Macaca fascicularis: one gene and its partner. The protein of the gene in region 1 interacts with the protein of each later gene in a biochemical or structural test. Links are inferred from orthologs where the notes say so. Each region holds a gene or a part of one and is shown on either strand. Other genes may lie near its edges.

Region 1 (7,862 bases):
CTAACACTTTGGGAGGCTGAGACAGGAGGATCGCCTGAGTTCAGAGGTTCAAGACCAGCCTTGGCAACACAGCAAGACCTTGTGTCTACTAAAAATTAAAAAAAAAAGAAATTAACCGAGTGTGGTGGTACACGCTGTTAGTCCTAGCTACTTGGGAGGCTAAGGTGGGAGGACTGCTTGAGCCCAGGAGTTTGAGGCTGCAGTGTCATGCCACAGCATTCCAGCATGGCGACAGAGTGAGACCCTGCCTCAAAAAATTGTTTTCTTTTTAATTAGCTGGGTGTGGTGGTGAGTGCTTATGGTCCCAGCTATTTGGGAGGCCTAGGTAAGAGGATCCCAACTGATAGGGGGGTTGGTGGGAGAAAAAGTAGGTTTATTGGTTTATTCTGAAAGCCAACAAGACTGAGAGGATGGTGTAGTAGCGTTCTAAAGTACCGTTTTAAGTCAGTACAATCTTAGACTCTTTCTATGTTAAGGGCAGGGAAGAGGAGGAGGGTGTGACCAAGAGGTACCCCATGGCAGACATCTGGGCAGCAGCGAGGGGCCAAGGAGGTTGGGAACTTCTTTGTCCTTGGTCTAGTTACAATGCTCCTATAAATCTTTAAGAAAACATAGTTGTTTACATACTTCTTTAACCCCAGACTAAGTTTTAAAAACTACATGATTGCTGTTTTTGCATATTAGCTCAGTGCTCTAAAGCTTACGGTAGCAAAAAATTAGAAGTCCAAATGCCCATGGCCGGGCGCGGTGGCTCACGCCTGTAATAGCACTTTGGGAGGCCGAGACAGGCAGATCACTCATGAGGCTGAGGCAGGAGAATCACTTGAACCTGGGAGGCAGAGGTTACAGTGAGCCAAGATGGCACTATTGCACTCCAGCCTGGGCGACAAGAGAGAAACTCCATCTGAAAAAAATGAAAATAAAAATGTCCGTCTTCAGGATGACTAGATAAACAAACAGTGGTATATTTACACAACAAAACAGTATACAGCAGTGAAAAGTGAATTAACTGTGAAACAGATGAATCATAGTAATATGTTGAGTGAAAAAAGCAAGTAACAAAGGACAACAAATCATATGATGCCCTCTACATAAAAGTTCAAAACTGGCCGGGCGCGGTGGCTCAAGCCTGTAATCCCAGCACTTTGGGAGGCCGAGGCTGAGGTCAGGAGTTCGAGACCAGCCTGGCCAACATGGTAGAACCCCGTCTCTACTAAAAAAATACAAAAATTAGCCAGGAGTGGTGGTTGGCCCCTTTAAATCCCAGCTACTTGGGAGGCTGAGGGAGGAGAATCGCTTGAACCCGGGAGGTGGAGGTTGCAGTGAGCCGAATGCCACTGCACTCCAGCCTGGACGACAGAGCGAGACTTCATCTCAAAAAAAAAAAGTTCAAAACTAAGGAAAACCAAACAATATATTGTGTAGGCATGCAGATATGAGTAATTTTTTTTTTTTAAATACAGAATTCTGGCCCAGGCGTGGTGGCTCATGCCTGTAATTCCACTTTGGGAGGCTGAGGTGTGAGTATCGCTTGAGCCCAGGAGTTTGAGACCAGCCTGGGCAACACAGCAAGACCCATCTCTAGTTATAATGAATTAATTAATTTAAGAAAATACAGAATTCTGGCCCAGCGTGGTGACTCATTCCTGTAATCCCAGCACTTTGTGAGGCCAAGGTGGAAGGAAAGTTGAGCTCAGGAGTTCAAGGACAGCCTAGACAACAAGGTTAAACCACTTCTCTACAAAAAAATACAAAAACTTAGCCAGGCATGGTGGTGTGCTCCCATAGTCCCAGCTATGCAGGAGGCTGAAGTGGGAGGATTGCTTGATCCTAGGTGGTAGAGGCTGCAGTGAGCCAAGACTGTGCCACTACACTCCAGCCTGGGCGACAGAGCGCGAGCCTGTCTCAAAAAATAAATACATACAATACAATACAATACAATGCAGAATTCTGCACGGTGGTGGTCCCTTAAGTTTTGCAATGGGTACACGGGTGTTTATGGTATTAATTTAAAAGTTATAAATATACAAGAATTTTAAGAAGAGGATCCATGCAAGGTTTAATGATAATTGTATGTCATCCATTCGCTCAACTGAAGTCGGCCTTCCCCGCCCCCTGCCAAAAGTAAACACTTTTCTAATCAGGGCCAGCCACTGGAGAAACTGAAATGAGTGGGCGGGGTGCTAACTCTATTTTCACTTTTCTCTTCCTGTTTCTTCAGAGCCTGGGAAACAAGTCAGAATTTCCAATCTTTTCCAATTCCCACATGATTTCCTAATTCAAGACGAATTCAGAGAAAATAAGTCTTTCTCCATCTGGAGAAGACTCCGCCCCCTGGAGCATCCTCCTTCGGGGATGAGGCCTGAGGTGGGGCTGCGCCAGCCCCAGCCCCCACAAGGACGCGCCTTGGGCTTGGTCTTGGGGGAGCTACCCGCACTGTGGGGTCACATGACAGAATTAGTGGTCAGCCCTAGCTGGAGGTCCAGGGCAAACACAGGCGGGGGCAGTGGGGTTGGGGGTTGTGGCCCTGCTGATTCGAGTGTCCCCTGTGGGTTCCGGACCTTCTGAGATACAAGCGCCAGGCTTCAGAGACGAAGCTCCGGGGTTTACCCCTGGGGACCCCCTGCTCCTGCAGCCGCTGAGGGCCGGCAGTTTGGCTGCATAGTAAGCTGGCGCTTTAGCTGGAGAGGGACGAGCTCTCGGCCAGCTCGCCAGCGGGAGGGCCTCAAGTTGTCCCATCCGGGCTGCAGGCTCCGCAAAGCTCCCTGATGCACTGTCAGAGGGGGAGGTCCGGCCGCTCCCCTTCCCCTACAGCCGCATCTAGAGTGGGGTAGGTTGGACATTTTAACGTGCTTCTGAGACAGTCACCACCGAAAGGCACCTTTAGCGATGAGGAAACCGGCGTGGAGTTCAACCACCCGGCCTCTGCGGAGCAGAAGGCCCGACTGGGCCTTTCCCTGCGCGGGGCGGGCGGCCGCAGCCCCGTAGCCCGGGCTTTGCTCCAGACCCGGCCCAGAGTGACATCACCAAACTCCGCCGATCGGTGGGAGGGGGCCCTGAAATCCCCTAAAAACAAAGTGAGTAATCGGCGGACCCGCCCTCCAGGCGGGGCCGGGACCCGGGAGCTAGCCGAACCACCGGGCACACCAGCCTCTTCGTCCCCGGCGACGCGCGCACTTGGCCCCGGCCCCCGGCAGCGGCTGTGCGCGCGGCCTCTTCGTCCTCCGCGCGGCGCGCACTTGCTCCCGGCCCCTTCGCCGGGCGGCGGCGGGGCAGCGCGCAGGCGCGGCCGGATTCCGGGCAGTGACGCGACGGCGGGCGCGCGCGGCGCATTTCCGCCTCTGGCGAATGGCTCGGCTGTAGTGCACGCCGCGGGCCCAGCTGCGACCCCGGCCCCGCCCCCGGGACCCCGGCCATGGACGGTGAGGTCGCCCTCTGACCCCGCGGGGTGGCCGCGCCGGGACCGCCCCGGCTGTGGCGGGAGGCCCCGCGCCGCTTTCCGCCCCTTCCTGCGCCGACTGGCGCTGCGCAGGGAGCGGTCGGCCTGCCGGATGGTGGCGCGGGGCGGGGCAGGCGGGGAGGGGTCTGACTCAGTTTCCCCTCTGGGTGGAGGGGGGCCCTTGACTCAGCATCCTCCCTGGGTGGGGGAGCAGAGGGAGCCTTGACTCAGTTTCCCTCCACACCGTCCATGGGGGCAGCTCTGGCTTCGTTTCCCTATTAGGGGAGAACGCATCTGATTCAGTTTCCTCTCTGGATGGAGGTGGGGCGTGCCCTCCCTCAGTTTTCCTTATGAAAGTACAACAGGCCCTGATTCGGCTTCCCTCGGGAGAAGGATTCCTTACCCCGTTTTCCCTCAAGAAGCAGGTGTTTCTGGTTCCTTTCCTCCACTCCTTAGTTTCACCGCAGGTTCTAGGAAGCAGGTCCTTACTCAGTTCCCCTGGGAGGGAGCCTGGCTTCTCTTCTCTGTGGAGAGCAGATACTCCCTTGTGAGGATGGGCAGTGGGTGTGTGCTGACCCTGATCTCCCTCCCCTTTCAGAACTGTTCCCCCTCATCTTCCCGGCAGGTAAGTGGCCCCCGCAGCGGTCCGGGAGGTGTTCCCTGGGGTAGGGCAGCGGGGGCAGCTGTCTAATGGGCCTGCGGTGTCCCCTGGCAGAGCCAGCCCAGGCCTCTGGCCCTTATGTGGAGATCATTGAGCAGCCCAAGCAGCGGGGCATGCGCTTCCGCTACAAGTGCGAGGGGCGCTCCGCGGGCAGCATCCCAGGCGAGAGGAGCACAGATACCACCAAGACCCACCCCACCATCAAGGTCAGCACTGCACCAGGGTGTGCGGGGAAGGGACTGTGGAACCCCAGCCCTCTGTGTCTGGGAGTCAGGTTTGGATGTCTGGGCCTCTGTACTTTGGACAGATCAATGGCTACACAGGACCAGGGACAGTACGCATCTCCCTAGTCACCAAGGACCCTCCTCACCGGCCTCACCCCCACGAGCTTGTAGGAAAGGACTGCCGGGATGGCTTCTATGAGGCTGAGCTCTGCCCGGACCGCTGCATCCACAGGTGAGCTCCCTGCAGGCTAGGAGGCCCAGCATGAGGGAACAGGAGGCGGGCTATGAAGTAGCCGCTACAGTGTTACTCCTTTCTGGACACAGGGCAGAGTTGCTTACTTCTTGCTCTGACTCAGCTCTGCAAGTAAACTCTCTTTGTCTTGAAATGATCTATTTGTACCTCTACTCTAGCACAGATAAGAGCTCCAAGGGATATGGATGGGTCCCTAATCACTTCTGAATCCCTGACCCCTGTAGCTGGAAGGACAAGTCCCTTGGAGTCATGTCTCTTGTTTGAGAAAGAAAACCACTGAACCAACACTCTCCCCTGGAGGTGACATTGCAGTTGACAGAAACAGGCCTTAAAAAAATATACAGGCCAGGCATAGTGGCTCATGCTTATAATTCTAGCACTTCCGGAGGCCAAGGCAGGAAGATCTCTTGAGCCTGGGAGTTCAAGACTAACCAAGGCAACATAGTGAGACCCTATCTCTACAAAAAAATAAGAAATTAGCTGGGTATGGTGACTTGTGCCTATAGTCCCAGCTACTTGGGAGGCTGATGTGGGAGGATCACCTGAGCCCAGGAGGTCACCGCTATGGCAAGCTATGATTACACCACGACACTTGGGTAGCAGAGCGACACCTTGTCGTGTTTTTTTTTTTTTTTTTGAGACGGAGTCTTGCTCTGTCCCCAGGCTGGAGTGCAGTGGCGCAATCTCAGCTCCCTGCAACCTCTATCTGCCGGGTTTAGACCACTGTCCTGCCTCAGCTTCCCAAGTAGCTGGGACTACAGGTGCCCGCCACCACGCCCAGCTAATTTTTTTGCGTTTTTTTTTTTAGTAGAGAAGGGGTTTCACCATGTTAGTCAGGATGTTCTCAATCTCCTGACCTCATGATCTGCCTGTCTCAGCCTCCCAAAGTGCTGGGATTACAGGTGTGAGCCACCGCACCCGGCCCAACACCCTGTCTCTTAAAAATAAATAAATACACAGATAAATAAACAAGGTGCTGTCAGAGTAACAATTTCAGTCCTGAAAATAAAACAAAGTCATAGGATAGAAGGATAACCTGGGGTGGGGGAGTTACGGGAGCTGGTGTGATGACTTTAGATTGGAAGGTCAGGGAAGGCCTCCCTCCTTGAATGGTGAGAAGGAGGAGAGAAGTAGGAAAAGAACATTCCAAGCCGACCAAACAAGTGCAGAGGCCTTGAGGTGGGAATGAGTGTCCTGTGTTTAGAGAATGGAAAAGAAGCGCCTGTGGTTGTAAGCAGGGAGCCCACGGGGAGGCTGGCAGGGGCGGGGGCACGGAGGTGCTTGTCAGCTGAGGGAAGGGACAGGGTTCATTGCAGCACAGTAGGAAGCCACTGGAGGGGGTCAAGCATGGAGCGATGGTCTGGGGGTGGGTGGGGGAGGAAGGAGCAGACTGGGCAAGGCAGGAAGGTCCGGGCTGTGTGAGAGACAGTGGGACAGATGGCTGGGGGTGCTCAGTTTCCAGAACCTGGGAATCCAGTGTGTGAAGAAGCGGGACCTGGAGCAGGCTATCACTCAGCGCATCCAGACGAACAACAATCCCTTCCAAGGTGAGGGCTACCCTGCCTGCCGCCCCCGCACCCTCTGCCACCCTCCCTGGCCCGCCTTTCCTGCATCTCCCTCATTGGCCAGTACACGGTAAAGATGGACTCTTGGTGCCCATTCGGTACTCTCCCACTTTGCCATTGGGAAACTGAGGCCCAGGAGGGGACATGACATTCAGGTCACAGTGGAGTCACTGCTGGGTTCTGCCTCCTCTAGGACTTGTGTTTTACACACTCGCCAGCGGCCCTCCCAGAGCAGAGCTCCCTGCCCCAACTGGTCACACCTATATCCCCACTTCCCCTGCTCTCCTGATCACCTGTTTTCTTGCCAGTTCCTATAGAAGAACAGCGTGGGGACTACGACCTGAATGCTGTGCGGCTCTGCTTCCAGGTGACAGTGCGGGATCCATCAGGCAGGCCCCTCCGCCTGCCGCCTGTCCTTTCTCATCCCATCTTTGACAACCGTGAGTAGCGAGGGAGACACAGGAAGGGGAGAGGGTGGGCCTGGATAGGAGGAAGGGGTTGGGGTGAGTGTGGCCTGCAAGAGGTGCTCTGATTCATCAGTCATCTTGTGTATTCATCTTCTCTTCTGTGCCCAGCTCTTTGTTGGCTGGGGAGAGAAGGCAAAGAAGACCCAGAGCTGTCCTTGAGGTGTAGCTCCGGCCTGGCAGGGAGTCTAGCAGGGAGTCTGATGGGAAATGGGCATTTTCAGTATCGTGTGATGAGAAGGTGGTGTGCCCACAACTGCGATAATGACTCTAGGAAACGAACTCCCAGGAATAAGATAGTGTTCGAGAATGATGCTTCAGTGACAGAAGCCCGCAGACGAATTGGGCTGACTGATCAGCTGCAGTCTTTAATTAAGTAACCAGCAGGATGAATGGAAATAAAACGACTCTGGAACCCCAAAGATGGGAAACCAGGATAAACTGGGAGTCAGGAGGGAAGGGCTCATTGCCAAGGTGGGTATGGACTGACCTTAAAGATTGCTTTGGTCAGGTGGAGACACAGTGTGATCAGATTGGCACTCACTGGACTATAAGCTCCGTGAGAGCAGAGGTTTAGGTTTTGTATGTGGTTGTATTCTCCTTGCTTAGATCAGTAGGCAAATACTTGCTGAATTGGTTGGGGTGAGGAGCTAATAAGAAGGTCTGACTGTGGCTGCAAAGGTGTAGGTGGCAAGCTCTGGGCAACCTTGACTTGGGGCTAGGCAGGGAAGTTGCATCTCCTGCAGGCCACCCCGGGGACCTCTGGTGGCTCAGGTCATCCTTCCTTGTTCTCACTGCCTCAGGTGCCCCCAACACTGCCGAACTCAAGATCTGCCGAGTGAACCGAAACTCTGGCAGCTGCCTCGGTGGGGATGAGATCTTCCTACTGTGTGACAAGGTGCAGAAAGGTATACATCAGGAGGCAGGGGTGGGCTCTTGGGAGCAAGGGGTGAAGCTGAGCAGAGACGGGGCGTGGCAGGCAACTGGCTTTGGATACTTCCTCCTATGCCTCAGGGGCCTCAGGTGGGCCGAAGGGTGATATTAGAAGACAAGCATCCGAAGTTGAGGGGGAGACCGTGGAGGGTTAGACACACTGACCCACACTGCCACCCCATCTCCTGCAGAGGACATTGAGGTGTATTTCACGGGACCAGGCTGGGAGGCCCGAGGCTCCTTTTCACAAGCTGATGTGCACCGACAAGTGGCCATTGTGTTCCGGACCCCTCCCTACGCAGACCCCAGCCTGCAGGCTCCCG
Region 2 (6,768 bases), on another chromosome or scaffold:
ATCTTACTACCTGCACACTAGTAAACCTGGGGTTTACGGACTACAGATCCTCTCAGCCCTGATACCCCCACCACTCTACAGCCCCTGACCCCTTTCTCTAGCCTGCTATTACTGTCCAGATAATGTTTCAAATACATCCCTGCAGCCATCTCAAAGCAAAACAAAGCAACTTCCAATCCGCCCCGGGTTGGAAGTTCCTCCTCTTCATGTATTTGGTAGAAATTAATATAGCTGAAAGTCTGTCTCATTAAAAACTTGACATAGGCCGGGCGCGGTGGCTCAAGCCTGTAATCCCAGCACTTTGGGAGGCCGAGACGGGCGGATCACGAGGTCGGGAGATCGACCTGGCTAACACGGTGAAACCCCGTCTCTACTAAAAAAATACAAAAAACTAGCCGGGCGAGGTGGTGGGCGCCTGTAGTCCCAGCTACTCAGGAGGCTGAGGCAGGAGAATGGCGTGAACCCGGGAGGCGGAGCTTGCAGTGAGCTGAGATCCGGCCACTGCACTCCAGCCTGGGCGACAGAGCGAGACTCCGTCTCAAAAAAAAAAAAAAAAAAAAAAAAAAAAACTTGACATAAGACATTGATAATTCTTATGAAGGGTGTGTGAGGGTATGAAAGGCGTGAGGGGTGGCAGCTATCTCTAAGATGCTATCTTACTAACACCACTATTAGGTTATGGCCTTTGAGTTCTATTTGCCTAGTGTGTTGGCAGACTCTCATACCCTTGACTGCTTTCCATTCTGATGGAAACCATAGAAATCACTCTACCATAGCTAACTAGAGTGATGGCTGGCAACTAGCTAGCCAACTAGCCCTGTAGTGATAGTGCTGCATCACTCGACCCCTTCAGAATTATGATGCTAACATCACATATAAACAAAAGGAAAACAAAAACATGAGGTTTCCCCCTTAGAGAGTAGCAAGAGGTGCCAGGCACAGTGAATCACGCCTGTAATCCCAGCACTTTGAGAGGCTGAGGAGGGCAGATCGCCTGAGGTCGGGATTTCAAGACCAGCCTGACCAACATGGAGAAACCCCGTCTCTACTAAAAATACAAAATTAGCCAGGTGTGATGGTGCATGCCTGTAATCCCAGCTACACGGGAGGCTGAGGCAGGAGAATCACTTGAACCTGGGAGGTGGAGGTTGTGGAGAGATGGCTCCATGATCACGCTATTGCACTCCAGCCTGGGCAACAAGAGTGAAAATTCTGTCTCAAAAAAAAAAAGTAGCAAGAGGGCAACGTCAGAAGTAATATTTTGGCCGGGCGCGGTGGCTCAAGCCTGTAATCCCAGCACTTTGGGAGGCCGAGATGGGCGGATCACGAGGTCAGGAGATCAAGACCATCCTGGTTAACACGGTGAAACCCCGTCTCTACTAAAAATACAAAAAAACTAGCCGGGCGAGGTGGCGGGCGCCTGTAGTCCCAGCTACTCGGGAGGCTGAGGCAGGAGAATGGCGTAAACCCGGGAGGCGGAGCTTGCAGTGAGCTGAGATCCGGCCACTGCACTCCAGCCTGGGCGACAGAGCGAGACTCCGTCTCAAAAAAAAAAAAAAAAAAAAAAAAAAAAAAAAAAAAAAAAAAAAAAAAAGAAGTAATATTTTATATGTGAAAGTATTCGAGTATAAAGTACAGGAGGTCTGACAAAAGATGTGCAGAATTATAGCATTATTGTCATTATTTGTATTTATAAGTAGAAAGTTGATAATCCTTCTCAAGCTTAAAAAATAATGCTGGGGGAGATGGTGTTTGTGTGAGTGAAAAGAAATGCAAAGGGTTTAAATCTCTCAAGGCTTGATACTCTTCCCCAACTTCCTTAAGAAACTAACTGGCTTGAAAAAAGTCATATTCTGCAAAGAGGGAAAAAAAGCTGTATCTTCCAGTCGCTGAGAAGGGATGTTTACGCAATATAAGCCTAAAGTGAACAGTTACCCCTGCACCGATTGCTATACATTCCCGTTTTGGAGGGAAAAAAGTTTGCCCGATAATGCAAAATGGCGACCTTCAGTGACGTCATACCTGTCTCGGTCGCGTCCTGGGGTCTCTGTAAGGGCGGAAGCGGGCTACAGCTGCCTCACTATGGGCGGTCGTGGCTACCATGCAAAAGGAAAAGTTTGAGCGTCGGGCGGATGTGTACCGGCGGTAACATAGTAAGGGCGGAAGTTCTCCTTTTAAGGGCGGAAAGGCTTTAGCCCCAAAATGGCTTCGGACCCTGTCGCGTTATAGTCACTTCCGGGGCGGATCGGAAGTTGCTTTGTTTTGCTTCGAGATGGCTGCGGGGATGTATTTGGAACATTATCTGGACAGTAAGAGCAGGCTGGAGGTGGGGGTCGGGGCTGTAGAGTGGTGCGGGGATCAGGGATGAGAGGATCTGTAGCCCTTAAGTCTCAATGACGAGAAGGTTACAATTGTGAGGGGGTTCTGTGGCAGGAAATATTGGAGGGTGCGGAGAAAGAGGGGGCGGGGCAGCAGGATCGAGGCCCCGCTGTTGGGGGTAGAGGAGGGAGGGGCTGCGGTGTGGGGGTTAGGGACGTGTCTTGAAGGGCTAGTGTGCACGGCCGGGAAGATAATTGCTGCCCCCATTCTCCAGCGTCTCCAGCCTCTGGGTAGATTTTTTTCCTATAGTCGTTCAGAATCGTTATCACCCACTGTCATTTGGAGCAGCGGTGAAGACCCCTCCTCCACCCCATTCTTCCTCAGAAGTGGCTTCTCGTGGGGTTGAGAGTGGTGGTGGTGAGAGTGGTGGTGGTGAGAGTGGTGGTGGTGAGTGACCACTGTCAGATGATGAGCTGGAACGCTTCTCTTCGTGGAGTAAAGATCTAATTCCCATCAAATGAAAATCTGGTGTTATGCCATTTATGTAAACCACCCCTGCACAAAGCCTGTCGCCCTATGCGCTTACATTTGTTTTAGGGCCCGGAGTCATTTATTCAACAAATATTTATTGAGTTCCTACTATGGGTCAGACATAATGGCAGGCACTAGGGATAGAAAAATGGGTAAGACAAGGCCCCTGCCCTCAAGAAGCTCTCGATCTAGAAGGAAACAGATTCTGCAAGTAATTGTAAAACACTGTGACAAGTGAAATAATGGAAATCCATTAAAAAGGACATTTGGTAGGCAACACTGCAGAAAAGGGGGGTAATTACCTGGCGATGTAGGAAAAGCTTTACAGAGGAGGTGATGTTTGAATAGGGTCTTGAAGGTTGTTTGCCAGTGAGGAGAGAAAAAGGGAATTCTAGGTTGGGGAAAGTGTCTGCAAAGGTACTGTGATAGGTTTGTGGCAAAGTCAAGGGTGTTTGATATTTATGACTCAGAGGTCAGCGTATTTAATATTTATGACTCTAAGGTAAGAAATTGAGAAACGAGACTGGAGAAAGAAGCTGAGGCTAGATTGGACAAAGTCTTTTAAGCCAAACTAAGAAGTTTGCATTTTAAAGTACAATGTGATTTTTATAAACGAAAATGACTAATATATGGTACATTGAAGCATGATATCACTGATAACAGAGATCAATTTAGTGATAACATTCCAGGACAGAGATAAGAACCTGATTTTAGGGAGTTATGGAAGTATTTAGGAGTTAAATATGAAAGGACTGCCGGGCGCGGTGGCTCAAGCCTGTAATCCCAGCACTTTGGGAGGCTGAGACGGGCGGATCACAAGGTCAGGAGATCGAGACCATCCTGGCTAACACGGTGAAACCCCGTCTCTACTAAAAAATACAAAAAACTAGCCGGGCGCGGTGGCGGGCGCCTGTAGTCCCAGCTACTCGGGAGGCTGAGGCAGGAGAATGGCGTAAACCCGGGAGGCGGAGCTTGCAGTGAGCTGAGATCCGGCCACTGCACTCCAGCCTGGGCGACAGAGCCAGACTCAGTCTCAAAAAAAAAAAAAAAAAAGAAAGGACTGACTGACTGGGTGGTTGAGAGAGAAGGAAGAATCTAAGGTGGCTTCTTGCTGCTTAGAAAGTGAGGTAGACAGGCTGGGCACAGAATCTTATGCTTGTAATCCCAGCACTTTGGGAGGCCAAGGTGGGCAGATCACTTGAGGTCAGGAGTTTGAAACCAGCCTGGCCAACATGGTGAAACCAGTCTCTATTTAAAAAAAAAAAAAAATTTATCTGGGCATGGTAGCATGTGACTCTAATCCCAGCTACTTGGGAGGCTGAGTCAGGAGAATCACTTGAACCCAGGAGGTGAAGATTGCAGTGAGCCAAGATCATACCACTGCACTCCAGCCTGGGCGACAGAGAGAGACTCTGTGTCCCTCTTAAAAAAAAAAAAAAAAAAAAAAAGGCCGGGCGCGGTGGCTCAAGCCTGTAATCCCAGCACTTTGGGAGGCCGAGACGGGTGGATCACGAGGTCAGGAGATCGAGACCATCCTGGCTAACACGGTGAAACCCCGGCTCTACTAAAAAATACAAAAAACTAGCCGGGCGAGGTGGCGGGCGCCTGTAGTCCCAGCTACTCCGGAGGCTGAGGCAGGAGAATGGCGTGAACCTGGGAGGCGGAGCTTGCAGTGAGCTGAGATCTGGCCACTGCACTCCAGCCTGGGCGACAGAGCGAGACTCCGTCTCAAAAAAAAAAAAAAAAAAAAAAAAAAAAAAAAAAAAAAAAAAAAACTTGTGGCCAGGCCAGGTGGCTCACGCCTGTAATCCCAGCACTTTGGGAGGCTGAGGCGGGCGGATCACGAGGTCAGGAGATCGAGACCAGCCTGGCTAACACAGTGAAACCCCGTCTCTACTAAAAATACAAAAAAATTAGCTGGGCGTGGTGACGGGCACCTGTAGTCCCAGCTACTCAGGAGGCTGAGGCAGGAGAATCGCTTGAACCTGGGAGGCGGAGGTTACAGTGAGCCACTGCATTCCAGCCTGAGCAACAGAGTTAGACTCCGTCTCAAAACAAAAACAAAAAGGCTGGGAGTGGTGGCTCACGCCTGTAATCCTAGCACATTGGGAGGCTGAGATGAGTGGATCACCTGAGGTCAGGAGTTCAAGACCAGCCTGGCTAACATGGTGAAACCGTCTTTACTAAAAATACAAAAATTAGCTGGGCATGTTGGCAGGTGCCTGTAATCCCAGCTACTTGGGAGGCTGGGGCACAAGAATCCTTTGAACCCGAGATTGTGCCATTGCACTCCAGCCTGGGTGACAAGAGCGACACTGCACCTCAAAAGAAAAGAAACGAAAGTTAGAGGAGAAAAGATCATGCCAACTGCTGCAGAGATATTTTTTAGGATAGGTTTAATAACACCGTTAGATTTGGTACATCGACGGTGACTTAATCTTGTGAACTGGTGGTAGCAGACCTGAAGTTGTACGTTTAAACAGTAGAGGCATTTTGTTTTTTTTTTTATTTATTTTGTTTTAGGTGTTTTTGTTTGTTTGTTTTTGAGACAGAGTCTCGCTCTGTCGCCCAGGCTGGAGCGCAATGATGCGATCTTGGCCCACTGCAACCTCTGCCTCCTGGGTTCAAGCAATTCTCCTGCCTCAGCCTCCCGAGTAGCTGGGACTACAGGTGCCCGCCACCATACCCAGATAATTTTTGTATTTTTAGTAGAGACAGGGTTTCACTGTGTTGGCCAGGTTGGTCTTGAACTCCCGACCTCAGGTGATCCACCCACCTTGGCCTCCCAAAGTGCTGGGATTACAGGCATGAGCCACCATGCCAGGCATTTTATTTTTAATATATATATTTAATTTTTTAGACACAGAATCTGGCCATGTTGCCCAGGCTGGTCTCAAACTCCTGAGATCAAGTGATCTGCCAGCCTTGGCCTCCCAGAGTGCTGGGATTAGAGGCGTGAGCCCCTGTGCCCGGCCAGTAGAGGCATTTTGAAAGTTTTAGGTGGAGTCTTGGGAAGAGATTTTTCTTGTACTGAGGGGACAAATATTCATGCATTTATTCAAGTATTTTACTGACTACTTGCTCTTCGCAAGTCATAATTCTAAACACTAGGGAAACAGGAGAGAATATGATAGCCATGTTCGGCGTGGGGAGACAGATACCAAATAACTAATTACACAATTATTATTTTTTTATTTTTTTGTTTTTTGAAACAGTCTTGCTCTTTTGCCCAGGCTGCAACCTCCACCTCCCTGGTTCAAGCAATTGTCCTGCCTCAGTCTCCCGAGTAGCTGGAACTACAGGCACAGGCCACCATGCCCATCTAATTTTTTTTTTTTTTTTTTTTTTTTTGAGACGGCATCTCGCGCTGTCGCCCAGGCTGGAGTGCAAGTGGCATGATCTCAGCTCATTGAAAGCTCTGCCTCCCGGGTTCACACCATTCTCCTGCCTCAGCCTCCTGAGTAGCTGGGACCACAGGCGCTTGCCACCATGCTCAGCTGATTTTTTTGTATTTTTAGTAGAGACGGGGTTTCACCGTGTTAGCCAGGTTGGTCTCGATCTCCTGACCTCATGATCCACTCTCCTCAGCCTCCCAAAGTGTTGGGATTACAGGTGTGAGCCACTGCACCCAGCCTAATTTTTGTTTTGTTTTGTTTTTGAGATAGAGTCTCGCTCTGTCGCTCAGGCTGGAGTGCAGTGGTGCAATCTCAGCTCACTGCAACCTTCACCTCCTGGATTTAAGCAATTCTTGTGCCTCAGCCTCTCAAATATTTGGGATTACAGGTTTCACCATGTTGGCAAGGCTGGTCTTGAACTCCTGACTTTAAGTGAGCCACCCGCCTCGGCCTCCCAAAGTGCTAAGATTACAGGTGTGAGCCACCGTGCCTGGCCCTAATTTTTGTATTATTAGTAGAGATG

Evidence for each region. The genes of interacting proteins can lie anywhere in the genome.
Region 2: the proteins of RELA (region 1) and ING4 form a complex in vitro, tested with the Homo sapiens proteins (3 studies listed by BioGRID, with this or other methods). The link is inferred for Macaca fascicularis from reciprocal best matches to the Homo sapiens genes RELA and ING4.

The regions. Positions count from the first base shown.
Region 1 is NC_088388.1:8,703,091-8,710,952, forward strand, and holds the start of RELA (transcription factor p65), read left to right. Parts: upstream 1-3,329; 5' UTR 3,330-3,415; coding exon 3,416-3,422; intron 3,423-3,895; exon of another isoform or gene 3,896-4,037; coding exon 4,038-4,064; intron 4,065-4,154; coding exon 4,155-4,306; intron 4,307-4,407; coding exon 4,408-4,556; intron 4,557-6,032; coding exon 6,033-6,124; intron 6,125-6,450; coding exon 6,451-6,582; intron 6,583-7,409; coding exon 7,410-7,514; intron 7,515-7,730; coding exon 7,731-7,862. UniProt on the Homo sapiens protein: NF-kappa-B is a pleiotropic transcription factor present in almost all cell types and is the endpoint of a series of signal transduction events that are initiated by a vast array of stimuli related to many biological processes such as inflammation, immunity, differentiation, cell growth, tumorigenesis and apoptosis.
Region 2 is NC_088385.1:7,583,920-7,590,687, reverse strand, and holds the start of ING4 (inhibitor of growth protein 4), read left to right. Parts: upstream 1-2,254; 5' UTR 2,255-2,272; coding exon 2,273-2,309; exon of another isoform or gene 2,310-2,326; intron 2,327-6,768.